Oryctolagus cuniculus: one gene and its partners. The protein of the gene in region 7 purifies or fractionates together with the protein of the main gene of each other region. This does not show direct contact. Links are inferred from orthologs where the notes say so. Each region holds a gene or a part of one and is shown on either strand. Other genes may lie near its edges. The genes, in order: DHX30, MEPCE, RPS3, NCBP1, NGRN, MOV10 and HNRNPA1.

The links.
Region 1: the proteins of HNRNPA1 (region 7) and DHX30 purify together in Homo sapiens (affinity purification with mass spectrometry; 3 studies listed by BioGRID and IntAct, with this or other methods). This does not show direct contact. The link is inferred for Oryctolagus cuniculus from reciprocal best matches to the Homo sapiens genes HNRNPA1 and DHX30.
Region 2: the proteins of HNRNPA1 (region 7) and MEPCE purify together in Homo sapiens (affinity purification with mass spectrometry; 3 studies listed by BioGRID and IntAct, counting the BioPlex papers as one, with this or other methods). This does not show direct contact. The link is inferred for Oryctolagus cuniculus from reciprocal best matches to the Homo sapiens genes HNRNPA1 and MEPCE.
Region 3: the proteins of HNRNPA1 (region 7) and RPS3 fractionate together in Homo sapiens (co-fractionation; 3 studies listed by BioGRID and IntAct, with this or other methods). This does not show direct contact. The link is inferred for Oryctolagus cuniculus from reciprocal best matches to the Homo sapiens genes HNRNPA1 and RPS3.
Region 4: the proteins of HNRNPA1 (region 7) and NCBP1 purify together in Homo sapiens (affinity purification with western blotting; 4 studies listed by BioGRID and IntAct, with this or other methods). This does not show direct contact. The link is inferred for Oryctolagus cuniculus from reciprocal best matches to the Homo sapiens genes HNRNPA1 and NCBP1.
Region 5: the proteins of HNRNPA1 (region 7) and NGRN purify together in Homo sapiens (affinity purification with mass spectrometry; 3 studies listed by BioGRID and IntAct, counting the BioPlex papers as one, with this or other methods). This does not show direct contact. The link is inferred for Oryctolagus cuniculus from reciprocal best matches to the Homo sapiens genes HNRNPA1 and NGRN.
Region 6: the proteins of HNRNPA1 (region 7) and MOV10 purify together in Homo sapiens (affinity purification with mass spectrometry; 3 studies listed by BioGRID and IntAct, counting the BioPlex papers as one, with this or other methods). This does not show direct contact. The link is inferred for Oryctolagus cuniculus from reciprocal best matches to the Homo sapiens genes HNRNPA1 and MOV10.

The regions. Positions count from the first base shown.
Region 1 is NC_091441.1:101,031,415-101,034,430, forward strand, and holds the end of DHX30 (ATP-dependent RNA helicase DHX30), read right to left. Parts: intron 2,951-3,016; coding exon 2,775-2,950; intron 2,574-2,774; coding exon 2,367-2,573; intron 2,264-2,366; coding exon 2,182-2,263; intron 2,116-2,181; coding exon 1,922-2,115; intron 1,795-1,921; coding exon 1,635-1,794; intron 1,503-1,634; coding exon 1,345-1,502; intron 1,249-1,344; coding exon 1,145-1,248; intron 1,067-1,144; coding exon 927-1,066; intron 826-926; coding exon 572-825; 3' UTR 501-571; downstream 1-500.
Region 2 is NC_091450.1:42,641,034-42,645,239, forward strand, and holds the start of MEPCE (7SK snRNA methylphosphate capping enzyme), read left to right. Parts: upstream 1-1,406; 5' UTR 1,407-1,551; coding exon 1,552-3,195; intron 3,196-4,206. UniProt on the Homo sapiens protein: S-adenosyl-L-methionine-dependent methyltransferase that adds a methylphosphate cap at the 5'-end of 7SK snRNA (7SK RNA), leading to stabilize it.
Region 3 is NC_091432.1:66,517,568-66,521,638, reverse strand, and holds the start of RPS3 (small ribosomal subunit protein uS3), read right to left. Parts: upstream 2,801-4,071; 5' UTR 2,702-2,800; coding exon 2,672-2,701; intron 1,988-2,671; exon of another isoform or gene 1,841-1,987; intron 1,712-1,840; coding exon 1,581-1,711; intron 1,305-1,580; coding exon 1,211-1,304; intron 565-1,210; coding exon 470-564; intron 1-469. UniProt on the Homo sapiens protein: Component of the small ribosomal subunit. The ribosome is a large ribonucleoprotein complex responsible for the synthesis of proteins in the cell. Has endonuclease activity and plays a role in repair of damaged DNA.
Region 4 is NC_091432.1:201,466,212-201,469,711, reverse strand, and holds part of NCBP1 (nuclear cap-binding protein subunit 1), read right to left. Parts: intron 3,341-3,500; coding exon 3,238-3,340; intron 2,158-3,237; coding exon 2,064-2,157; intron 1,400-2,063; coding exon 1,296-1,399; intron 1-1,295. UniProt on the Homo sapiens protein: Component of the cap-binding complex (CBC), which binds cotranscriptionally to the 5'-cap of pre-mRNAs and is involved in various processes such as pre-mRNA splicing, translation regulation, nonsense-mediated mRNA decay, RNA-mediated gene silencing (RNAi) by microRNAs (miRNAs) and mRNA export.
Region 5 is NC_091443.1:100,254,896-100,257,598, forward strand, and holds the end of NGRN (neugrin), read left to right. Parts: intron 1-1,240; coding exon 1,241-1,817; 3' UTR 1,818-2,203; downstream 2,204-2,703. UniProt on the Homo sapiens protein: Plays an essential role in mitochondrial ribosome biogenesis.
Region 6 is NC_091438.1:57,646,062-57,650,003, forward strand, and holds the start of MOV10 (helicase MOV-10), read right to left. Parts: upstream 2,801-3,942; 5' UTR 2,662-2,800; intron 2,635-2,661; exon of another isoform or gene 2,550-2,634; intron 2,539-2,549; exon of another isoform or gene 2,450-2,538; intron 2,332-2,449; 5' UTR 2,267-2,331; coding exon 2,130-2,266; intron 1-2,129.
Region 7 is NC_091442.1:57,215,737-57,220,029, reverse strand, and holds the start of HNRNPA1 (heterogeneous nuclear ribonucleoprotein A1), read right to left. Parts: upstream 2,801-4,293; 5' UTR 2,675-2,800; coding exon 2,660-2,674; intron 2,098-2,659; coding exon 1,981-2,097; intron 1,758-1,980; coding exon 1,611-1,757; intron 1,477-1,610; coding exon 1,266-1,476; intron 1,176-1,265; coding exon 1,083-1,175; intron 1,005-1,082; coding exon 912-1,004; intron 642-911; coding exon 567-641; intron 359-566; coding exon 206-358; intron 1-205. Other genes in the region: CBX5 (chromobox protein homolog 5), read left to right, coding at 3,153-3,470. UniProt on the Homo sapiens protein: Involved in the packaging of pre-mRNA into hnRNP particles, transport of poly(A) mRNA from the nucleus to the cytoplasm and modulation of splice site selection.

The DNA of each region.
Region 1 (3,016 bases), on a different chromosome or scaffold from region 7:
ATGGCCCAGCCATTCCCCATGTCAACCTGACTCCACTGTAATGATTTCAAGAGTAAATAAAGCTGCCTGATGTCCCACCACACAGGCCTGTGCTCGTTTGTCTCCACCTCTGGCACCAGCGAAGACCTCAGCCAGCACTCAGACCCTCACCTGCGAATCCGTGGGTCCTACCGAGTTTGTAGCAGGGCGATGGCACGACCGGAGGGTTATAGTCCAGGCAGGCGAGTCCAGTGTCCAGGTTTGCAAAGGCAGTGATGGTTCTGACAGGCCACCTGTGGCGTTGGGGACTTAGGTGAGGCGCTGCGCCGAAGGCTGGGGCTGGCCTTCAGCGTAGCAGCACTGCAGGGTCAACTCCTGGGGGGTAGGGAGGACAGTCTAAACCACAACTCAGGGCTACCACAGGCCCTGTCCCCCAGGAAGACACTTCTGTCTCTCCCTTCATGCTTCCTCGATGTCGGGCAGCTGAGGCCCTGAGAGGAGCCCCTAGTGGGTAGCGATGCTCACAAGGGATAAATAGAACTTTATTTTAAATAAACATTTGCACTCTGTACACAGCCCCAGGGAGTGGGGCTCAGTCATCTGCTGTCTTGCGCACATCAAAGCTACCACAGGGTCCTCGCAGCAGCTCTGCCAGCAGTGCCAGCAGCTGCCCGTGCTCCTGCTGCACACTGGGGGGAAGCGCAGCCAGCTCACTGCGCAGGCTCCGCTCCACCATGCGGCCCAGGGCCCTGCGCAGCTCCCTCAGCAGCCGCACAGTGCGTGAGTCACCCTCCAGCCGCAGCAGGTCACTGTCACTCAGTGAGATGGTGGCACGGCGCCCATCATCTGGGGGAAGGGAAGAGACCGGAGAGAGCACAGTGAGGCTGGGCCCAAGGCCATGGCGCATCCCATGGAGCCGTGGGGCTGGGAAGTCTGCAGGTACCCACCGCGGATGTGCACGTCGCCATCGGTCAGCAGCAAGACAGCTAACGGGTGCACCTGGGAGGAGTCCCGGACAAAGACGCTGCCATTGGACTTGACTGCCATGAAATATGTCAGCCATCGGCTCCGTAACCTTGTGGCCTCCCTAGGGAATAGACGGCTGGGTTGAGGCTGTGCTTTGGGCCCTACCCAGCTGCCCAGTCCACTCCTGCCGGTCCCCAACCTGTTAATGGTTGACTTGTGCAGCAGGATGTTGCCTGATTTGGTCCTGTAAGTGACACTGTTGGGCTTGAACTTCCCCTGTCGGGTCACTTTGCCCTGCCTCACCTGCAGGGATGGAGAAAAGGATGGGTGAGGTCAGGGAAGGAGCTGAAGAAGGGAGGCAGCTGGGATATGGTCAGCTCCTGCCCCCAGAGGCTGCACCTGGATGAGGTTGGGATAGAGACCAGCCATCAGCACGCCCTTCACCAGCTCCTCTTCCGCACTGTACTCATTGCACTGGGCAGAGGGCAGCGTGCAGTCTGACGGCTTCCCCACCAGGAAAGCCTCGTAAATGTTCTCCGAGAACTGCTTGACGAGCCCTGTGGGAGCAAGTGCACCATGAACCAGGGCCCTCCAGCCACAAGGCTAGGGAACGACAGGAGTTAGTGTGGGTGGGCATGGGTGGGAGCAGGCAGGAGGGGCTGAGGAGCCCAGGTGTGGACCCCGCTGACCATGGATGAAGCGCAGGCTGGGTGCGTAGAGCAGGTTTTCCTCTAGGTAGTTCTCCCGGGAGCTGCGGTCCTGCCAACGCAGCACCTCCTCCCAGCCGGCTACAGCCCGCACAAAGGCCAAGTGGTCGCTGCCGCTGTCATGGCTCAGCAATGCCTTCACCTGGGTTAGGGGGGCGGGGGGAGTACCAGGGTCACAGGGAGGGGCTGGAGAAGGCCGCCTCAGACAGGATGTGGCTGGAAGGCTGGAAGGGGGAGCCAGGGGGCTGAGGGGAGGGACTGGGTCTGACCTTGTCCACCTCTGCCCGGTTCTGCAGGCTGCTGCTGAAAGGGTCCCGGGTGAGGCAGGAAACCACCACTAGCAGTGGGTGCAGGCAGCGGAAGATGGCAGCTAGTACGATAGCCTTGGCCAGCCGCGGGTCAGTAGAGATGTGGGCCAGACGCTGCCCCAAGGTGGTCAGGTACTCTCGCTGGTCCAGCACCCCTGCAATGGCTCAGCTGTCAGTCCCATCTGAGAGCCACCCCAGAGCCCAGCCCAGCTCCTACGCACCGATCTCCTGGAGCAAGATCACAGCCTCATCTACCGCCTTGATGTTTGGACTGTCCACAGCCTTCGAGAGGAACTCGACTGCCTACAGCAGGAATAAGCCAGAGCTCCCTGTGAGTCTGCAGCTCACCTGCCTGCTCCCAAGGCCAGCCCCATCCAGCCCCAGCCCCAGCCCCAGCCCCACGCACCGTCTTCTCAGGCATGTGGATCTTGGCTTGCAGCACCAGGTTCTCCAGAGGTGTGCGCAGGATCTCCGGCACTTGGAAAGGGACCATTTTCTCCAGCCGGCTCCGTGGGAACAAGTGGTAGGCAAAGCCTGATTGGCAGCGGCCTGCCCGGCCCCGACGCTGGATCACGTTTGCTCTCGACACCCACACAGTCTCCAAGCAGGACACCTGGGGGAAGAAGCAGGTGAGCAGCCACACGGACACCACAGGACTCCCCCCCCAACACACACCGCAGCAGGGACAGTCAAAGCCCACGAGCGTGGCCTTCTCCAGAGACAGAGCCGCTGTAAGGCAGGTCTGGACTGGGGGCCACCTTGGGATTGGAGTCCTTCCCCCGGGGTCTGGCTGGGCCCAGGAGATAGGTGCCACCTTGGTCTTCAGGTCGTAGCGTTCCTCCTTGTGCAGACCGCTGTCCACCACATGTACAATGTCATTGACCGTGATGGAGGTCTCGGCAATATTGGTGGCCAAGACAATCTTGCGCACCCCTGCTGGAGGCTGCTGGAATATGGCCTTCTGGTCCATCATGGGGATGTTGGAGTGCACTGGGGAGCAAGACACACACTGGTTATAGGCACACTCCTGCCAGAACCACCTCCTAGAATCGGGGC
Region 2 (4,206 bases), on a different chromosome or scaffold from region 7:
TGCTGACTGTTTTACCTCTGCGTTCCCCTGCCTTCTCTCGTGCTCCCATTATTCTTCTTCCCAGCCGTTATTTTTTTAGGATTTGACATCCTCCTGAAACCCACTCCCGCCTCCGAAGCCCTTTCTTTTCTCCCTGTTGGCAAGGAGACCGAGCTACCCATCACCCTGGGGAAACGGCTCCATTCCTCATTGGCCGAAGCTGGAAGTCCAAAGAGGGGCCGAATCGTCTTCCCCGCCCACACCCGCTTTTATATAAGGCGGCGCGAAGCCTCGGAGTGCGTCCGGGAAGGCCTGCTTGCGAGCTGGCGGCGGCCACGGCGGCTGCGAGGGGCCCCGCGGGCCCGCGGTCTCGCGCGCAGCCGCCGTGTGGCGGGCGGAGGACTTGGTGTCAGGGCCGTGGGTGTGGAGGCGGACAGGAAGGCGTGGTGTGCCCAGGTGATCGCGATTGGGGCAAACGCCGAGGAGCCAAAGAACGACTCAGCCATTTCAGGGGAAGAGGAAGTTGAACAACACCGGCTCTCCTTAGTGCCTTTTTTTGTTTTTTTCCAGTTCAGCAGAGCGTTATTTTCGAGGGGGGTGAGTTCACATGACCTATCGAATTGTACTGAGGACGGTCAGGGCGCCTCCCATTCTCCCCTTCCGCGACTCCTCAATTCACCCCCTCAGCGCGCTCAGCTCTTAACCAGGTGGGCAAAGCGGGGCCCAGGAGCGCGCGCGCGCACTCGTGAATAATTCATGAGGCCCGCCCCCGAGCCCGAGTCGCGCTGACGCACGCTGCGTGCGCCGACCCTGAGGGAGCGACGTACAGGCCCCGCCCCTAGGCCGGGGGTGGGGCGTCGGCCCAGCACGTGCTACCTCGACCCGCGCAAGCCCAAAAGCGTGTGCGCAGGCGCTGCCCGCTAGGGGGAGGAAGGAGGCGGGGTAGGGAGGTTGTTGGGTTTAGAGCCGGGCGGAGACCGCTGAGACTCATTCCTCAGGAACAAGGGTCGGGTGTCAAGGAGACCTTTTCACACCAGCTCCCCGTCCCCCGCCTTCGGTGGGTGGGGTCGCGCGGCAGAGACAAAGGATATCAGTAGGGAAGTAGGGTGTCAGTTTGGGGTGGTGGGCTTCTGGGGGAGGGCCGAGGAGGGGGGGCTATATTTAAACTCGGGGAGCCGTTAAGTTGGGTTCGTACTCCGATGCGCGCGCAGCCAGGGTGGTGGCGGAGTGCGCATGCGTGGCCCCGGGGCTAGGGGAACGCGCGCTCGCCGTGCGCGCTCGCGGCCGAGCGGTAGTGGTGGCGGAGAAAGGGGTCGGCGCACGCGCGGTTGATTCCTCGAGTTGTTCGGGTCTCGCGGGCATCTTGTTTTGGTCTCGCGGGCGAGTGGGGCGCGCTTCAGGGTGGGGGGGAGGAGGCGCTTGGGCGCGAGACCCAGCGAGGCGAGCAGAGCTGCGCGCGCACCCGGGGAAACGGGAGGGGGAAGGGAGCGGGGTCTAGCCAGGCGGGGGCGGGGGGCTAAGCCCCCGATCCCCACCTCGTTACCCTCGAGTGGGACGGAGTAAGGGGAGGAAATGATCGAGATGGCGGCGGAGAAGGAGCCGTTTCTGGTGCCGGCCCCGCCGCCGCCGCTCAAAGAGGAGTCGGGCGGAGGGGGCGGCCCCACGGTGCCACCACCCCGAGAGGCCGCCTCCGGGGAGCCCCGCGGCGAGCCGGAGCGCGGCCCGGGCCGGAGCGCGCGCTCCGCGGACGCCCCTGCCTCGGCAGCCGGCAGCGGGAGCCCCGGCGCCGCCGCCACCCCTCAGGGCGGCCCCCGGGCGCAGCCGCACGGGGAGGCCCGCGTGTCGGATCCCCACGGGCGAGCCGCTCCCCCGGATGTGGGGGAGGAGCGCCGGGGAGGGGGCGGGACGGAGCTGGGCCCCCCTGCCCCTCCTCGGCCGCGTAATGGCTACCAGCCCCACCGGCCCCCTGGGGGCGGCGGGGGCAAGAGGAGAAACAGCTGCCACGTCGGGGGCGGCGGTGGGGGCTTCAAGCACCCGGCGTTCAAGAGGCGCCGGCGGGTAAATTCGGACTGTGACTCCGTGTTGCCCTCCAACTTCCTCCTCGGGGGCAACATCTTCGATCCGCTGAACCTCAATAGCCTTTTGGATGAGGAAGTGAGCCGCGCACTCAATGCGGAGACCCCTAAGTCATCCCCACTGCCCGCCAAGGGCCGAGATCCAGTGGAGATCCTCATCCCCAAAGATATCACTGACCCGCTCAGTCTCAACACTTGCACTGATGAGGCTCAAGTAGTTCTTGCTTCGCCGCTCAAGACTGGTCGGAAACGGCACAGACACCGGGGACAGCACCACCAGCAGCAGCAGCAGCAGGCGGCGGCGGGTGGAGGGAGTGACAGCCACTCCGTGCCGCCCACCGCCCCCCTCACCCCCTCACTCCACGGGGAGGGCGCCGCGCAGCAGCAGCGCCCGAGGGGCCAGAACCGGGATGCCCCCCAGCCCTATGAACTCAACACAGCCATCAACTGCAGGGATGAGGTCGTGTCTCCCCTTCCGTCCGCCCTGCAGGGCCCCTCAGGCTCCCTTCCGGCCCCTCCCGCTGCCTCAGTTACCTCTGCACCCTCGTCTTCCTCCTCCCGGCATCGCAAACGGCGCAGGACTTCCAGCAAGTCTGAGGCCGGGGCTAGGGGTGGAGGCCAGGGTCCTAAGGAGAGGGGCCGCGGGAGCTGGGGAGGCCGCCACCACCCGCCACCTGCGGCAGCGTTTAAAAAGCAGCAGCGCAAGTTCCAGTATGGGAATTATTGCGAGTACTATGGGTACCGCAATCCTTCCTGTGAGGACGGCCGCCTTCGTGTGTTGAAGCCCGAGTGGTTTCGCGGCCGGGACGTCCTAGACCTGGGCTGCAACGTGGGCCATCTGACCCTGAGCATTGCCTGCAAGTGGGGCCCCTCGCGCATGGTGGGCCTGGATATCGACTCCCAGCTCATCCACTCTGCCCGCCAGAACATCCGACACTACCTGTCCGAGGAGCTGCGGCTCCCAACCCAGACTTCGGAGGGAGACCCCGGGGCAGAGGGGAAGGAAGGGACTACCACCGTCCGGAAGAGGGGCTACTTCCCAGCCTCGCTGACAGCCAGCCGGGGTCCCATCGCTGCACCCCAAGTGCCCTTGGATGGAGCGGATTCATCCGTCTTCCCCAACAATGTTGTCTTCGTCACGGTAAGAGGATCTGAGCGACTCTTGGAGTAGAGGCCACGTATGAAGATGAGCTTAAATGTGGCAGGGGCAGGTTTTGACCCTCCCCCCGTGAGATTTCCGCGCATTCAGTCCTTGATAGGAGAAGCAGATTCTCTAGGGTCTGTACTCTCCCTTGGGTGTGTCTCCCGCAAGGAGCAGTTGGGGCCTCTACCTTGGGTCTTTAACCCCGGGGTCCTTTCTCAAGACTGGAAGATCTCTTGCCTGAGAGAGATTGACGGAGTGCTGTGTGCCTGGCCTGGTCTGGGCTAATCCAGACTAGTCCACCTTCCCTTGAGGGCCACTGCTGATCCTTAGGAGACTCTGTTAAGATGGAACCTCAGCCCTGCTGAAGCAGTGTGAGGGGTGGGTGTCGGACGTGGAGTGCCTTGGGGGGAGATGAGGTCAGTAGCAGGCTAATATTTATAGTTTCTGTCTTTCACTTGGGACCTTGTTTGCAACTGCTGCCTTTTTTTTTTCCCCAAGATTTATTTATTTATTTGAAAGGCAGAGAGAAAGATCTTCCATTCGCTGGTCCCTCTGCCCTCCCCCCCCCCCCAGGGGCTGCAACGGCTGGGGCTTTGTCAGGCCAAAGCCAGGAGCTTCATTTGGGTGTAGGTAGCAGGGGCCCAAGCACGGGAGCCATATTCAGCTGCTTTCCCAGGTGCACTAGCAGGGAGGTGGATTGGAAGTGGAGCAGCTGGGACTCCAACCAGCGAATGGAATGCCAGCACCGCAGGAGGTGGCTTAACTGCCACAACAGCTGTTTTTTGTTTCTCCAGGTAGAGTTGGTTAAAGATTGTCAGTGGTCAGGATCCCAAGCAACTTGGCTTTTACCTCTTCTCCATGTTGACCCTAGATAGAGGGAGAGCATAGTCCTACACGGGACTGGACCATGCCTGGCGAGTGTTGCTCCCCATCAAAAACTTTAGGCCATCTGCAGGAATACTTGGCAGTAGGTTGAGTTAAGCCTGAAGAATGGGCTTTGCAGAGGGC
Region 3 (4,071 bases), on a different chromosome or scaffold from region 7:
GCATAGCCCACCACATTAAGTATCTGGATTTTAAGCTCTCTCATCAGGACTGCTTTCGCGTTTATGGTGCCAATAAGAGTGAAAATCTCAACCGATCAAGTGTCTTCTATCTTGTTCTGACTTTCGGGGCACCCCACAAATTACCAGTAACAGGCTGACTTGCCCACCTCCCAGAAGACACTTAAATCTCATCCAGAGACCAAGGAGAATTGGTCCCCTCCCTGAGCACCTGTTTCTGCTCTCTTCCCAAGCACCTAGAACACCTGTCCACCTTTTCTCATTTTTCTTCTTCAGTCTTCTTAGCCTGCAGCCAGCAAAGGCATGGATTAACAGTACTGTGTTGCTGGAACCCTCAGAGGCTAGCAGAAGCTGTCACTCAACACAAGTTCATTTGTGAAACCAGCAAAGAGCACACACCACATTCTGATGCACACAGAAGGGCATGACCACCAGGCGGCACGACACTTACCTGCGTACAGCAAGCCCTCCTAGGAGTTTGTAACGCAGAGACTCTGCCTGGGCAATGGCACATAGGCCCCTCGTGGCCACCTTTTCAGCGTAAAGCTTTAAAGGAAGCAAAGCACACCCTGTTACCTTCACCCTTGTTTTCAATTCAAAGTCAGCACACTCATTTCTTTCCCCACACCATCACAGGAGGGTACCTCAAAGGGTTTGTGGAAAACGGAACTCAAAGCTAAGTTTATTTCAGTGCAATGTACGTATGACCAAGTCTTCAAAGAGCTCAGGAACAAGAATCATGAAAAAAGCCAGATTTCAAATTTTGGAGGGGCATTAAAATAAGTATCTCTTAATTCCATTCTTCCATAAACCTTTTACATTTTATCACAATAGTATCCCTCAAGTCCAAAAGCACTCCTGCCCACACCCAGGACAGACACAAGCAGACCAAGCCTCACTGCCCCACCTCTGGCTCCTCCTACAGCTACACCAGGGAGACCAATGGCACAGTGCATCCACTTTGTGTCACCTGCACATTCAGGTGGTGTGTAACATCATCATCCACCAGAAATGAGCACACAGGGCTGTAAAACCAAACCCACTGCCCACTGAGAACCTCAACCAATGCCAATCCCACCATAACACTCACTGAGCCTGAGCAGGTCTCCATGGTGAATAAGGGATTTCAGAAGCACCACTCTAAAGAGCCATTGACGTCCACTTAACCTCTGGCATGAGCCAGACCACTCACCTCTACGCTGCCCTCTGGGAAGCCAAACCTCTTCTGAACGACGGCAGTCAGTTCCCGGATTCGCCGGCCTTTCTCACCGAGCACATTCTGTGTCCTGGGCAAGAAAGAGACCACTGATGACGCGCCCAAGATCCTACATGAACTGTGAATTGTGCCTATTATGCATGGTACTAAAGCCCCACTTATCTGCCACAACACAAATACAAATTCTACATGACAGAAATTATTGTTCAATTTTTAAAATGCCGCTTTAAACAATCACATTCACTAACGCCAAATTCACTTGACCGTACCCTTAAAATTTATACAGAGTGATTTCCTTAGTGTATACAACTAGAGATCACTACCCTCCAGTCAAGTGATACTTTACCTGGTGGCTAAAATAATGATTTCTGTCCTGGTTGGTGTAACTCGGACCTCAACTCCAGAGTAGCCATCTTCAGCCAGCTCCCGGGTGAGAAACTCGTTCAGCTCAGCTTTGAAGATGCCGTCAGCAACAAACTAACCAAAAAAGCAAGTTCAGAATTAAAGGAGGGGCTGGCTCACTTCCCTCTGGACCAGTCTAGTCTATCAGACGCCAAGACATCCTTCATCAGAACTCAGTACCTGTGCCAACAGGGATGCTGCAACCCTTCTCAGACAAATGCCTCTTGGTCATCTTGGGGCTGTTGCTTCCACCAGGGCCCTTTCCAGGGTGCCACAGAACGCAGCACGGCGGAAGACCCCCGGGGAGAGCCAGCACCCCCGGTCAGACTCGTCATCACCTCTTCACCGAAGGGCCTCAGATCCTCCACTTCGCGCAGCAGGCACACTGTTCTACCTTGTCACAGGAGCAGGCGTGGGTCAGAGCGGTCTCACCTGCACCCAGCCAGGCACCCTGCCTTACCTTGTGTACCTGTGGGCTTACAGACAGCGGAGCTGCCAACCCTAGCTGCTGCGGAATTTTAACAACGATGTACACACGCAGAATGGCAAACTATGGATGCCTAAAGCTAGCGATTTTGACACGACATGACTTCGAAGTTAAACCCGAGGGAGCTTCCTGCCCCAACGGGACAAGTGAGACCTGTACTGTCGGAAGGCGGCACCCAGGCACCCGTACGGCGGGCAAGACGACGCTGCTCTCTGCCCTTCCCAAAGCCATGGGTCAAGAAGCGAGAGAAACGGCTCACGCCCCTCAAACTACTACACAGTCACTAGATTTGTTGACCAAGACAGGCTCCCCGGAACAGGTGGGGCGCCCCAGGCTCACCGCTGCACTCTTTCCAGCCGGCCACCCAGCGGCCGCCCGCCTCGGGCCTCGCATTCAATCCGCCGCCATCCGCGGCCCGCGGCCACACCACGCACTCTATGCCACTGCCCAAGGACGGGAATGGAGCTCGGCGTCTCGCGGAGGCGACCCGAGAAGTCCCCGACCCGCGCAGCACCGCAGTTCCCTAGATCCCAGCTCCAGATGCTCACCTTCCTCTTCTTAGAAATCTGCACCGCCATCTTGCCGCCGCGCGCAGCCGAAAGGAAAGGAAGTGGCTCGCGGACGGAAATGGGTATAAACGGCTCGGCGCGACGTCGAAAAGCGGCGCGACGTCGACGCCTGCGGGCGCTCATGGGAAATGTAGTTTTAATGCAAAAAGGCCGCAAAGGAGCGAGAAGAGCGAAGGAGTTACCTGTAGTAAGAAACAGGAACTGCAAGGGGACTTAGAGTCCCTTTCTCTAGTTTTGAAAAGGACGGAGAGGCTCAGAGTTTCAGCAAGAGTTTAGGCAGCGTGGAACCCTGGTTCCCACACTTTCAGGTCGATACTAACGAGTATCTACGAGAGCTCCCATTCTCCCCAGTCTCTGTCCATTTCCTCCCTTCCCAATGATAATACCTACTACGTGTTAACGTCCTAGGAACTATTCTGTGCTCTTTATGCACCACTTGCATAAAAGCTGTTACAACCTATAGCAGACTCAGGGTTCTGGCTCACGTGCGCACAATTCTACATTTAACTTCGGCACTAAAATAACTCTGATGCAAATGACTGGTCCTTTCATCATGAGATTATAATAAAGTGGAGTTCCGTGGGAGCTAAGCAGAGGGCCAGGGAAGGGAAAAGAAGTGGATGGGGGCAGGCATTTTAGCCTAGACCCTAAGTCGTACACATCCCACATGGGAGTGGCTCGATTTGATACCTGGCTCCAGGTTCCTGCTGATGAAGACTCTGGGAGGCAGCAGCCATGGTTCCAATGACTGGTTCCGTCCACCCACCTGGGAGAGCCGGATTGAGTCCCCAGCTCCTGGCTTTGGCAGGCCCAGGCATTTGGAGAATGAACTGGTGGATAGGAGCCCTCTCAGTGTCTGTCTGTCTGTCTCTCTCTCTCTCTCTGAGAGACAAACACACTCATAAAGAAAAAGAGGATGAACCAAAGACACAGCTGGGACCCCGACATGTCTTAATGATGGATTGAGGTTGAGGGGGGAAATTGAGGTGGTGCCTGGTTTCTGGCTTCCACGGTGGCCGCCTCGTGACAGCCCTCACTGAGACAAGGAGCTGGAGAGCAGGGTTCTTCCTCATCGGCTCCATGGTCTGCTGAACGCGGCCCTGGTCAGTCCCCCCGCCTGACTTCTCTAGGGACATGGGCAAGCAGCAGGGCACCCGCCCGTGAGTGCAGGGTCAGAGGAAAGTCCCCGGGGCCCACTGCAGTCAGGCTCCTGTCCTTCTAGATGACCTGCTTTGCGCCCTCATCCCCGTGGGCCTCTCCTCCTCCCAGTGTCCACTCTGATCTGCGTCAGAGCTTGAACCCCACTCGCAGGAGTCCCCCCGCCCCGCCTCACCCCTTGACCATACAAATGATACTGGCAAGAGCTGCTCCCTCCCACT
Region 4 (3,500 bases), on a different chromosome or scaffold from region 7:
TGCCACCTGCAGTGCAGGCATCCCATATGGGCATCGGTTCTAGTCCCGTTTGTTTCACTTCTGATCCAGCTCTCTGCTATGACCTGGGAAAGCAGTAGAAGATGGCCCAAGTCCTTGGGCCCCTTCACACGCCTGGGAGACCCGGAAGAAGCTCCTAGTTCCTGACTTTGGATGATACAGCTACGGCTGTTGTGGCCATCTGTGGAGTGAACCAGCAGATGAAGACCTCTCCTTTTCTCTCTGCCTAACTCTGCCTTTTAAAATAAAATATTAAAAAAAATCTGTGCACAAACTTTCAGTCTAAAATGCTAGAAGACAGGACAGACAGGCACAGCGCGTTCATCCTGAAGTGGGGGGAGAAGGTGGGGCAGAGTTAAGAGATACCTGAGAGTTCACAGAGCTCTTGCTCAACGACTTGATTCTAGGATGCCTGCCTGAGTCTGAATCCTGGCTCTGCACCGATCTGTGACTCTGGGAAAGCTGTGTAAACATTCTGTGACAATTTTCTTTAAAATGTGAACAGTGGAACCTCCTTTCACTCATGGTAATGGTTAACTTAACAGGATGGTCAGTTCTCAGTGCAACCCTGAGAATGCTTTCTGTTGTCTGCATTTGTGATCACCCACTGACTAGAGTGACGACCTCAGCTCACACCCCGTCACACCGAGGACTCAGGCCGTGTCAGACCAGTGTCCTCAAGTAATCGCAGTTACTGCGGAGAAGGTAGAAGCTCCGATAGATTTTTGTTTCTAAGTAACTCACTTTTGTACTGTTTTGTGTCATCTCCTGCTATCTCAGTCCCAACCAATTCTAAAGCCTGTGAAATTTCACAAATAAGAACCGAGTTAATGAGAAGTTCCTTCCCTTTAGGGGAACAGGTGTAGAATTATATCTGCATTATATCTAGGATTTTGTGGCCCAGATGCAAATGTGTCCAGCTTTCCTTGTCCCTGGCATGACTGATACACCCAAGCCCCATCTGGCCTAGCAGAGACGCCAACACACAGCCAGCTCTTCCACATCCTCCTTCCCAATAGTCCTCTGACAGCACTTCTACCTGACCGGCTTAGACCTGATTCAAATGAGTGTGACCCTAGGAGATGCTGCAACCTGATGGGCTATGGGTATTTCCATTGTCTAGAAATACCTATGAAGTCCAGTCCTACCAGATTGGACCATTAGGATATTGACACCACCTAGTTTGGACCAGAATTTTGAGTTCATGTTTAAGAGATAACACATAACATATGCCAATTCTTAGAGAATTAAAAACGTTGTAAAGTCAGTCCTATTACCTAATAAAATCACGAGACAGTTCTGAAGAAAAGATCCAATTTGCTACTGCAGCACAATCAACAATCTGTGTACGAATCATCTTATCCACCAGTACAGCAATCATCTGTAACGAGACAATTATTAGGGTAAACATTTTATGTATGCCAAAATAATACTGCTATAAAGTAAAACAGTGGGGCTATAACATTGCTTTTTAGTGGCTATGAAATTAATCAATTTGGCCAGTAGGTCTTCAGATTTATTTTGCTCCTTGCTTGGTTCTAGCACTATAAGAAATATTAACAAATTGGAGCCAGCGTTGTGGTGTAGCCTGAGATGCCCTCATCCCATATGGGCAATCAGTTCAAGTCCCAGCTGCTCCACTCCTGATCCAGCTCCTTGCTAATGGCCTGGGAAAAGCAGAAGATGGCCCAAGTGTTTGGGCCCCTGCTGCCCATGTGGGAGACCTGGGAGCTCCTGGCTTCAGCCTGGCCCAGCGCTGGCTGTTGCAGCCATCTGGGTGTGAACCGGTAGATGGAAGACCTCCCTCAAAATAACTAAATGGTAACACCTAAAATTTTAGATAATTCCTATACAAGTATATAACTTCAACTGAATACAACAGGTCAAAAATAATTTTATCATAAAAAGTCTTAACCGTCCTTTCAAACATTTCAATGCCTTTTAATAATACATAGAATTAAAAAATTGTTTTACAAACCAAAACAAAGGTAATTAGTTGCCTAATTTTTGTAGTCCTACAATGAGGGAGCCACAACATGGCTTACCTGCGGATGGTTCCTCCAAACCTCAAACATAACCCTCAGCACGTGTAACTTTCCTTCATCACTTTCTGCTAGTGTTTTGAAGACTTCGTGAAACCTTTAGACAACACAGGGAAAAGTGTCACATACACTCACTCCTTTTAATGTTTGCAAGGTTAATTTATAATATCTAAGTGCAAAATTACCAACTATTAGTCACTGAAGATATAAGAAAGTCATACTGTAAGCCCAAGACCTAGGGACAAGTTAACGTTAAGGAACTGTCTGCAAATCTGAAGTACCTGTTTTCATTCTCTGTGGGAACCCTGCAAGCAGTACAGAGCCTGGGGAGCTGGGAAGGAATGAGACGGCCAGCTCCCTTCCCTCCCACCGCGGCCGAGGCAGGATCCAGGATCTATAAGTTCCTTCTTTTGCTGAGCTATCTGGTGAGTTAGAAATCAGTCTTTAGATGCCAACCTCTGGGTGGCTCCCCAAAATGTAGCTGGCTCTCATTTCTGCTTCCCTTCCTTTCAGAGGATGCGTTAGCAGCACAGGAGCTATGGACTATATATACACGACTGTTCCAAGGGCCCGAGATTGCATTAGTTTCTCCAAATGTACGAAAAAGTATACATTCCATGTGTACACTGTACATATAGACTGACAGAAGCCAGGAAACAGAAATTTTAACTAAAACAAATCAAAACCCATTGTGTGGCCAGCGCCGTGGCTCAGTAGGCTAATCCTCCGCCTTGTGGCGCCGGCACACCGGGTTCTAGCCCCGGACGGGGCACCGGATTCTGTCCCAGTTGCCCCTCTTCCAGGCCAGCTCTCTGCTGTGGCCCGGGAGTGCAGTGGAGGATGGCCCAAGTGCTTGGGCCCTGCACCCGCATGGGAGACCAGGAGAAGCACCTGGCTCCTGGCTTCAGGTCAGCACAGCACGCCGGTCATAGCGGCCATTTGGGGAGTGAACCAACGGAAGGAAGACCTTTCTCTCTGTCTCTCTCTCTCTAACTCTGCCTGTCCAAAAAAAAAAAAAAAAAAAAAAAAAAAAAAAAAAAAAAAAACCATTGTGTGGAATCATATATTAAGATCTTCATATTAATCAATTTCAGGTTAAAAAAAAAATCAGTGTATCACTGAAGCTCAGCGAGTCCCAAGCCCCCAGAAAGGCTCCGTGCTGCTGCTGCTCACTTACTTGGCCAGGGCACTGAAGGAGTGGCTGAAGGACTTGGCTGCCAAGTGCAGCAGGGTCTGCACAAACACCTCTATTTTCAACGGGTTAAAACTGAATCCTTCATCTGAAAAATATTTCATAGCAAGTGAAAAAAAATGAGTACAGCAATTCCTTGGTGCCTCACCTAGAATGAATGCTCAAAACAAAACACTATGTCAGACATTTATATAACATCTTTTAGTATTAAAAAGAATAAAAGACCATTACTGATTTCAAATACGCAA
Region 5 (2,703 bases), on a different chromosome or scaffold from region 7:
ACAACTGGGGCTGGGCCAGTCCCGCGCTAGGAGCCCCTCCCAGGTCTCCCACATGAGTGCAGGGACCCAAGGGCCAGGGCCATCCTCTGCTTCTTTCCCTGGTGCATTAGCAGTGAGCCAGATCGGAGGTGGAGCAGCTGGGACTTGAACCAGCACACATATGGGATGCCAGCACCACAGGCAGCAGCTTAACCTGCTATGCCACAGTGCCAGCCCCCCCAAATATGAATTATTTTCACTGTCTCGCTCATGAAAAGAAACATACTATAAATAAGTTGCTTTGGGGCCAGCTGGAGTAGGTTGGGCCTCTGCCTGCCATGCCAGCATCCCGTCTGGGCATGGATTGGAGACCTGGCTGCTCCACTTCTAATCCAGCTCCCTGCTGGTGCACCTGGGAAAGCAGCGGCTGACGGCCCCAGTCCTTGAGCCCCTGCGCTCACAGGGGACACCTGGAAGAAGCAGCCATCTGGGGAGTGAAACAGCTTACAGAAGGTCTCTCTCACTAACTCTGTCCTCTTTGTGACTCTGCCTTTCAGATGGAAATATGTGTGTGTGTGTATTCATTTATTTTAGATTTCATTTATTTATTTGAAAGGGAGAGGTACAGAGAGAGGGAGAGACAGAGATCTGTAAATCGACCACTGAGAGAGCTTGAGAATAGAAAGCTACTCATGAGGTTGCACCGCCTGAAATCCTTCCCTGGCTCACGTCACCTAAATGCAAGGTGATCTTGCCCCTGCCTGGCCTTTGAGCCGAGTCCCAGCAGAGCTGCTGATCGGCGTTTCACGTGCTGTCCTCCCTCCTCACCCCTCCCCTCTCTTGACATGACTGCTTTTCAACCCTGCAGACCAGCTTTAGCTTGGACTTCTTGATGAGGGCCTAGTCCGGGCTGTTTGTTGGTGACTTGGTTGCCCACCCCTGGGTTTCCCTTTTGGTGTTCTCCCTGCAGCCTAATAGTCACCATGCAGCCATCTGTGTTAAACTGTGTGCCCCTGGAAGGAAGGGGAGTCCTTCGTCCCAGGATCTAAGGTGGGTGTTAGACAGCAGTGGGAGGTGTTGAGCTGACACCACGAGGGGTGCGATGTTGCTGATGGCACGCGGGAATGGAACACAGCCATTTAACTGGCACAGAGTGTGCTAATACCTGTAGTTCCCCCAAGCCCTCCTTTTGCTTCTCACTAATCTTATCGAGAGCTATTCTAATAGGACACTCAACTTGAAAACCTCCTTTTTTCCACAGGTATCTGCATAAGGAGTTTGCAGAGACCTGGTCAGTTCCCAGGTTGGCTGAAGGCTTTGATGTCAGCACTGATGTGATCCGAAGGGTTTTAAAAAGCAAATTTGTACCCTCCTTGGAACAGAAACTGAAGCAGGATCAGAAAGTCCTTGAGCGAGTTGGGCTCGCCCACGCACCGCCGCGGCTCCCTGCAGGCCACTCTGTGTCAGGGGCTTTGCTGGTGCCAGGAGATGAAGCCTCATCCAAAGGTCAGAGTCCCAGCACAGCTCTGAGAGCAGTCGCAAACACGCCTGGTGCAGGTTCACCAAGGAGACAAAAAGGAAGGAATCCAGGACCCCAGGGCCCGCAGGAGGAGGGCTTGGTGCCTGAAGCTGCAGCCTGGGCTCGGCAGAGGGAGCTTCCGAAGTCCCCCACTCGGGACTGCACGCGGCCCAGAAGAAAGGGGAGCCAGCCGTCGAGTGACGGGAAGCTGGAAGACTTGAAGGCGGGGGGAGCTGGTGCCCAGAACTTCAGCAGCAAAGTAGTGCAGAGGGGGCGGGAGTTCTTTGACAGCAATGGGAACTTCCTGTACAGAATCTGAGCGGGGTCTGCCTTGTGAAGCACAGGTGGGCCGGTGTTTTCAGAACTGCCTGGCTTTCTGCGTGTGGGTCAGCACCTTGCGATGGAGGAAGTGGGCGGTGGAAGCCGCAGCTGCCTGGGTAGAGGGAAGCTGTCCGGAGCACTGCGCCGTCCGCCCCCTGTGAATCTCCATGCTCGCCCTTCTTGCCCGGGCTCTGTGTTGCAAGCCAGTGTTGCATGTGTTAGGAGCTTCTGTGATTCTTGTGCAATATACATTAGGGAGGAGGTGAAAAGTTTGCCTTCTGACCTCATTTCCTTGTCGATGAGTGAACACTAGCAGTTCTGGAACTGCCCGGTCAATTGGTTATTTCCTTACGTGTAGAAAAATAAAGTGAAAACGTAGCAGTCTGTGTTGCCTCGTGGTCTCTGGGGTGTGAGGTTTCTGAACCTTGGAGAGCAGGAAATGGGAAAGGAGGGGGATGGATTCCATGGGGAGACAGCTGGGCTGAGAGAAATCCCCAGGAGGGGGCTCTGTAGAGCACCCTGCTTGGTGAGGGTGGGGTACTTTTGGTGGTGGTTTGCCTTTTTAAGGATATCTGTGAGAAAGGATTTGAGAGATCAGCCATCTGCCGGCTCCGTAACAGTGGGCTGGGCCAAGTGAAAGGGAGAAAGCCAGAGCTCCGCGCAGGTGGCAGGAACCCAAGGACTTGAGCCATTATCTGCTACCTTCCTGGCGTGTGAAAGGCAGGACAACCAGAGATCTTCCATCTGCTGGCTCACTCCCCTAATGGCAGCAACAGCCCAGGCTGGGCCAGGCCGAAGCAAGTAGCCAGTAACTTACTCCAAGTGCCACACAGGTTGCTAGGGCTCAAGTACTTGAGCCATCTTCCTCTGCTTTCTTGGGTGCA
Region 6 (3,942 bases), on a different chromosome or scaffold from region 7:
ACTAATTCCCAAGAGGAGGATGAGGACTGATTTCACAGCACTGTAGCCTGGTCTGAAAGGCTGCATGGTGAAGGTGGCCCCAAGCCAGTCTCCTCCACCTGGTGGGAGTGGCATGACAACAGAACCTACTTCTGCCTGCTGGAGAGACACCATGAGTCTTCTTCAGTGATAACTACCTCATCCTCTCTCATTTTTCAAGTCAAACATGTCTCAGATTCGTTGACAGAATATGAAGCCCACACAGAGACTTTTCCTCCTCCCCCACATACTAAAAAATGTTCTCTCCTTCAAGGCCAAGGTCAACATCACTTTCTCCTTCACATTCCTCATAATTACAGGGGACTGGCTTTTTTTTTTTTTGTATAAAAACACAAGCTCATACAGTAAAAACTACCTTTGAGAATCCCTAATTCATCGGTAATGGATAGCATACGTGGTTTTCTGTATGCAATCCAAAATGGACAGGTTCTCTCCAGCACTGAAACACGCTGTGCACCTTGGTTCAGAAGTGACAAAGACTCCTTGACTAAACTTCAGCCAGGCTCCTCTGAGCTCTCTTCGCAAGGCCTTGCCCTTGGCTCCCTATACCCTTTAGTCTTAGGCCTGTCTAGCTCAGTGTTTAGCAAGAGGATGCTTCCTCTTACTAATATTCTACATTAGAATATCGGCTAGAAGTCCTCGGGTATCTTTGCTGTACTGAGTTGAGTTCGAGCTCCCTCCTCTAAATGAAGCAGTCCTATTACAACAGTATTCAATAAAGTCCTCCTTACCATTTTAACAAGTATCAGAATAACTTTTTCAACAACAGTGGCTGATGTGTTCAGAGCTATGCTGTGCTCTGTGGACACTAAGTGGTGAGTGTGTGTACATGGAGCATTGACAGGATGTGCTCCAACACTAAGTGCTCTCTCTGTACTTCCCACCAGCATCTTTCTTATTACCTTATTACAATCCTTGTGTTTTACCAAGCACAGTATTTTGCATACACTCTCCCCTGGGTGTGCACAATTTTCCGTCTTTATCATTCATGGTGTAGTGGCACAAAATAGGTCATCAACTTTGAACCTTCTTCAGATGGTGGCTCAAGCCAGTCGATGTGCCTCTCACAATGTGACACCCATGACCCAAAACAACATTCAAGATAGAATCTGGTGGTCAACCGGGAAAGTCACCACCTCCTTCTCCCACCGGGAACTGCCCGTCTATTCACTCCACCTGCGTTCACCTTAGCAGCCAGCCCTGGCCTTTTGGTGTGAGGACACCCAAGACCTTGTGCAGGAGACCTGTGATCCAGCCCCAGTTCCCACCACCCCGCATTTATCTGCACACACGTCTTCACATTTATCCCTATTAAACTGTTGCTTGGTTTCTTGCCGGAGGCAGCAGCCTGTTGATAGAGGTGATTTTTGAAGCACAAATCTGCGGTTTGATATAAGTCTCTTTGATTTGCACTTTAGTGGTAAAGACAACAGGAGACCAAACAGCGTTCAGCCACAGGGGGAAGGGGGCCTCCAGGAAGCTGTTCCTGGCCCTGGGTCTCCATGGAGAAGCCACAGGTGCTAATGGGCGGTTGCTACATACGCAGTTTGTGCCCTTCGCTTCTTTCTAGAGCGCCCCGAGATTCTCTTCGCCTACACTGGGCCTCCTCAGCTCTCCCAGATAGCGGACACTTAAAGCAGCAGCACTGCAACAAGGGGGCCGGGGTCTCCATGCAGCCTGCGCCAGAGCTAGCGGCCCCCAGCAGGCAGCTCCTTGCCCGCGCTCCTGAGATGCCTGGGCCCCCCTCTGGAGGCTCCCTTCCCCCACTGCAAGAGCTGTCCCCCAGCCCCCCGCGAGCGGTGCGTGGGCACAGACCCCGCTCCCAGGCTGGGGTCAACAGCCTTGGAGGCTCTCTGCGGAGACGCGGCAAGGGGCCCCCCCGGCGCGGGCAGATCGGGCGGACTCCGGGAGGCGCTGGCGGGGCGTGGGCACGGCGGCGGAGGGGAGGGCTGCGCCGCCCCAGGACGGGCCCAAGCCGCTGGGGGAGCTGCGTCTCTCCGAGCCCCGGGTCGGGAAGGGTGGTCCCGACGCGGGGGTCGTGGCGGCTAGCTGGGCCCGCGCTCCGGAGCTGGAGGTGGGCCGGCTCGTACCTGATCTTGAAGTCGCGGTTATAAATGGTCCGCAGCCGCTCGCGATCTGTCTCCATGTCCAGTCCCCGAACGACCAGGAAACTCTCGAAGGATTGGCCCGTCTCCCGGAGCTGCCTGCAGCTGAACTTGCTGGGCATCGCGGCGGTGGCTGCGGCCCAAGCAGGAGGGTCCGTGGAAATGAAACTGAAAGTCGCCGCCGAGGCTGGAAGTTGGCGGCCCTGGGGTGAGGATGCAGCGGAGGGAAGCGCCCCCCACTCGGACCCCAGAGTCCGCAGGCTCCCTTCTTCCCACCAGGCTTCCCTCCACCGTTCTTTTCCTACCTGAGCCTTCCCTTCGGTCTCTTCGTCCTATCCCCTCCCCCCTCTTCGCATTAACTCTTTCCTAAGGAGTCTGACCCCTCCCTCAGGGCCCTCCCCTTACCCTGAGCTCCCTCCCCTGGCCTCCAGCCAGTATAAAAACGTGGCTACCGCCTGGGGCCCCCTGAACCGCCCAAGGACCTCCGCACCACAGCCAGGGCGACTCCCACGCTCACCCTGCTGAGCCTCGGGGCTTATTGGAAAGCTGGGGAGCAAAGGGCGGGACAGGGGCCTGGGTCAGCTGTAGCCAGACTTGGGCAGCTAGTCCAGCACCTCCCCCAGACTGCGAAGGACAGAAACCCTGGAAGAAAGCGGGCTGCACGCCCCCTCCCCCATTTTCCTTTCAGACGGAAGGAGGAAGGCAAGAGTCAAGAAGTTTGGGAGAAAGAACTAAGTGTCTCGGAGATAGAGGTGTGTACGTGTGGGAGGGAGGGACGAGGGGCCCCGCCAGGACCCAGTCTGCAGAGTGGTTACTTTCTCCCGCGCACAGGCTTCTTTATTGTGGAAAGGCTGCTGAGACCTAGCCTTGAGCTACATATTTGGGCACTTAACTGCACTCCAATTATGCAGTGCTCTTTTACTGTTAATAAGTGAGTTGCCCCAGTCATCAAAATACTAGCTTCTTGAGAGCAAGGGACTGCTAGGTTAGGCAGTAAATGGTTAACAGCCACAGCATCAGCACCAGGAAGAGACCTGCAGGCTTCCAAAGAAACCCCAAGGGGGTGGGGCTACCACAAAAACAAACAGAACCAGGGTTTTGCATGTTTGTTCTTCAGAAGGAACAAACAAAAACACAGTAGAATGGGACAAAGATGGGTAGTATTTTTAAAATGTTTAGGTCGAATCTACCAGAATTCCAAGTAGATCACAGCTAAGTGTTCTCCGAAGCACATCCCTATAGGCGGCCACACACCCTTGTAAGCTGGTGGGAGGGATGGCCAGCACCTAGGACGCTCCAGCTGGGCTACCTCCTCCTGCCTTCCTTGCCACCAACCAACTGGTCAGGAGAGGACAGTGGGACCCAAAGCTCCAGGAAAACAGAGCACAGGGAAACCTGATGTCCTAGAAATTGATCATCCCAGGTAGAGGGAGAAATGGGGACTGTAGCCAAAATATTTTACCACTTTTCTCCCCCAGTTACTCGACGAGGTTCCAGAGAGGAGGAGTTCCTACAAAATTCTTTCACTTACACTTCCAAAAATGTACCATCCACTATACCAAAGCATTTGGATTGCAAATCCATGTTCCCATTATTCCTAAACATATACCCTGCCCCCCTTCTCTAGTGAAACCGATCTCCTCATGGCTGCAAAACACATAAACAGCTGTAGTATAGTAAAAACCTGAAAATGCCATGCACAATGTAACTTCTCTAGACTAGTTTCATCTAGACTAGAAAAGCTACTTCACAGGGCAACCTAATTTTTACTCTCATACGTTCTGTTCTGTTCTAGAAG
Region 7 (4,293 bases):
TACCCGCTTAGCATCTACTTATTTGGGAGTGAGGCGGCCCCAGCTTAAAGCTAGGAGGAGGTAGCACAGCAAGCTCATTTCCTTTTAATATACCATGCAGTGTACCACACAATGCTTTAAGAGCTTCCAATCGCAATATGGGCATTAAAATGCTAAAACACTAATCTAGCTATCAGACCAAGTACTTGGATCACTCGATACCTACCACTACCACCGCCAAAGCCGCCTCCGCCGTTGTTATAGCTGTCATAGCTGCCACTCCCGCCATAGCCACTGCCCTGGTTTCCATAACCCTGTCCACCACTTCCATAGCCTCTGCTTCCTCCAGAGTAACCAGGGCCGCCTCCTCCATAACCACCTATAAGAATACAATTCTTCTCAATAAGACAAAAGTATTTAACAATCAAAATCGGTTCAAGTGTAATGGCTAAAGGCCTGCGCAAAGCATGCTTATTATGGGTTCAGTTGAGCTTATCATGCACTAGCAGTTAACAGTTTCTATCATCCTAATCTAGTAACACAAGTTGCCAGAAACATTTTTACCTATGTATTCTTTAAAGACTTACCGTCATTACCAAATCCATTGTAACCATCCCCACTGCCACCATAACCACCTCCACCGCGGCTGCCGCCGAAGCCACCTGGAAGAAAGCAAACACGTGCAGCAGGTTTAGAGCATATGAATTGCGTGGTACGCTCTGGAAGCGCTCCCTGCACTGTGACAACGATTGGCACACCGGAGTAACTTCTGGTTAGTTACAGGCCAGAGCTGCATTTTAGATAAAACTTAACTTCGGAAACGTAGGCCATTTGTTATATGCTACTACAGGTTACAGAAAAAAAAGGGACAAGTCATCTAGGGTCAAGAAACCACAAGCTCTCTAGAGTTAACCTTAGCTAACCATACATACCACGACCACTGAAGTTTCCTCCACGACCAAAGTTGTCATTGCCACCAAAACCACCTCCACGACCACCACCAAAGTTTCCAGAACCACTTCGACCTTGAGAGATAAGTGTTAAACCATACAGATTGGAAAAACTCAAAGTTACCTTAACGTCCGACTAAGCAATAGACATACCTCTCGGGGTGGACGAAGCGCTGGCCATCTCCTGCTTCGACAGGGCCTTCCTCACTTCACAGTTGTGGCCGTTCACAGTGTGGTATTTCTGAACTGAAATTTGATGACAAACAGCCCGGGGTTAGAGTGGAATGCCACGTGCGTTGCAGAAAGCCCGCAAAGTGCCTGGGATCTGATACTCACTGACAATCTTATCCACGGAGTCATGGTCGTCGAAGGTCACAAAAGCAAAGCCCCTCTTCTTGCCACTGCCTCGATCAGTCATGATCTCAATCACCTCGATTTTCCCGTACTGCTCAAAGTAATCTCGGAGGTGATGCTCTTCAGTGTCTTCTTTAATGCCACCCACGAAGATCTTTTTCACAGTGAGGTGGGCACCTGGTCTTTGGGAATCCTACCGAGCCGAGAACCACGAGTTACTCTAAATGGCAAAATCTGTGTCCTTTATCAAGTACTTGAAAGGGTCCAGATGGCTCCCCAATGGCAAGCCTATTACCACAACCGATGGGGGTTTGGGGGCCCACTTACTTCTCTCGACACAGCCCTCTTTGGTTCCACAACTCTTCCATCCACTTTGTGTGGCCTTGCGTTCATGGCCGCATCCACCTCCTCCACGGTGGCGTAGGTGACAAACCCAAAGCCCCTGGAGCGCTTGGTGTTCGGGTCTCTCATTACCTGGAGACAGCGTTAATTTGCTTATTACAAGGCCCGGGCCCGTAGGAGGTTATAGGGCGGTCCTCCTGTTCCCCGCTCCCGCAACTTCCAAAAAGCAGGCCGAAGAGCCACAAACGAGCCATTCCTAACTCAGAACTCAGGCCCCGTTAGGATCTTAAGCCCTCGCACAGAATCTGCAGGAACAGCCGCCGACGCCCCGCCTCCCGGCCCTCCCCAGTCTTACCACGCAGTCCGTGAGCGTGCCCCATTGCTCAAAATGGCTCCTCAGGCTCTCATCGGTCGTCTCAAAGCTCAGCCCTCCGATGAAGAGCTTCCGCAGCTGCTCGGGCTCCTTGGGCGACTGGGCGGGAGAGCAAAATTGGTTTTTCTCTTGTAAATTCGGGCTACCACACGACCCCGTTTCCACGCGGGGGGTGGGGAACACAACTCGGCCCCCACAAAGGCGGCACTTTTTGTTCGCTCCGGTCCAAAGCGGGCCACGTGCTCCCCCTCATCAGGGGAGGCGGCCCGTTGGGGGCTGGGGAGCCTCCAGCGCATGCGCCGCTCCGCTCCCTCCAGACGCACGCGCGCAACAAAAGGTCCGCGCGGGAGGGGGACATCGCCGTGAGGGGCATCAAGGCTTTTTTAAAACCCGCTCGCCGGGACAAAATTGAACCTAAATCGCCATATGGCTAACGATTTTGCCCCGACGCCGACCCCGGAGTGATTATCGAGGGGCTAGCGGCCCGCAACCTCATGGCGACGACGAGGACAAAATGGCGACTTGAACTTTGGGAGGGGTAGGCCTTGGCCGCGACCGAGCAAACTGCCGAAAAGGTTGCTGCGGGCAAAGAAACCGCCCCTACTGGACTCGAAGAGGGAGACGAGGGGGAGAACTACGTTAGAAAAGGGGAGCTCCTCACCTCTGACTTCGACATGACGGCGGTGGGAAGAGAGAACTCGACGATGCTTCCTCGGCGGCGTCCGCAAGCAGAAAGGAGTAAGCCAACGAACGTATCCGCCAGCCTACCTTCGGCCTCGCTTTTTTATCCCGCCTCCTCGCTTTCGACATTGGCAGACTCCACCCCTGCCTCGCTCTGATTGGACATTTGAAATCGCTTCCCTCTACTATTGGTGTATGGCGCCGCACTGCTGCGTACGTCACCGTTAGGGCGTTCTGCGCAGTCTCCACCCCTCGGACCCCATTGGTCCTCGAGCAATCTTATTCTTAGCCAGCCTGATTGGCTAACTGAACAATCATTCATTTTTGAACGTACTTCGCCTGTCTAAACGTTTTTTTTTCATTCTACTAGTCCAAATTATATATCCTATTTGTTTGGTAAAGCATTATTAACACCAAGCAGCAGAAAAGTAGTTAGATGTGACGGTTTTTTTCAACAACCGCCTGTTGAGCGCATGTGTAGTAAAATGGCGATCTTGCGCATGCGCATTATAGAGTTCCGCTCGCCGCTTGAAACACGTGAAATGGCGGGCGGGAGAAGGCGGTTAACCTACGGCGCCTGCGTAGTGGCGGGAGTTGCGCGCTGCTTTGCGCAGGCGTTGTGGGCGGAGAAAGGGTCCGGGCCCAGGATTGGTTGCGCAGGCGCAGGGAAGGATCCGTTTTGGCGGGCGGTTGGCGTTGCGCAGAAGGCAGCAGCAGCGGTGGCTTGTGGTGCGGCCTCAGCACAGAGGAACGGGGCAGACGTTAGGGTGTGTGATCACTCTCGATCCCGGGTAAGTGGCAGAGAGTCTTGTCTACCTGTACAAGGCCTTGGACCGGCTCCAGTTGGGCCCGTTATTGTGTGAAATGAATGGACCGTGGGGTGGGGGGATAGTCAAGGGGCAGCGGTGGGTTGGGCCAACCAATAGAAGAACAGGGGGCGGGATATTCCATCCCTGTAGGTTGTGTGGAGCTGTGCCGCCGAGGCGTTTGACTGGCGCGTGTCTAGGCCAATTGGGTCTACCTCGAGCTGCCGACTGATCGGCCTTTGGGCCATCGGAATGTGGGAGGCGGGTTTTCCCTTCCTGAGCAGCGTCCCGCCGAGCCAATGAGCGCGAAGCGCGCGGTAGGTTGGGCTTCTCCGAGGGGCCGTGGGTTTGACTCCAGCGGGGAAGGCGGGAGTTGGGCCCTCAAGTGGATGGACCAAATCTGGAGCCAGTAGGCGGGCGGCCCAAGGAAGCCTCTCGGACAGGTCGTCCAATAGGCTCTCCAGGACGGGGAGGTCTTCGATTTGGTGGGAAAGGGTGGGGAGGAAGGAGATTCAATGGTCGTGATGGCGTGCGGGGGTGGGTTTTTCCCCCCTACGACTTCTGCGAAGCCCCCCGCCCGGTGCACCTCTTTGGTAGCGGAAGCGTAAATTTGGTCCTGGGTGCTGCAGCTTGGCATCGCTCTCCACGTCGGGGCATCCCAGCATCCACCACATTGAGTTTGGGGGAAACCCGAGCAGGGCTTTCGATTTAGAGAACTTGTTTTAGGAAGACGGACTGAGTGTTAGCGAATGAGAGAAATCACTGTGTACTGTACGGCAAGGCGACCTCAGGATGCCTGTTTCTGCGG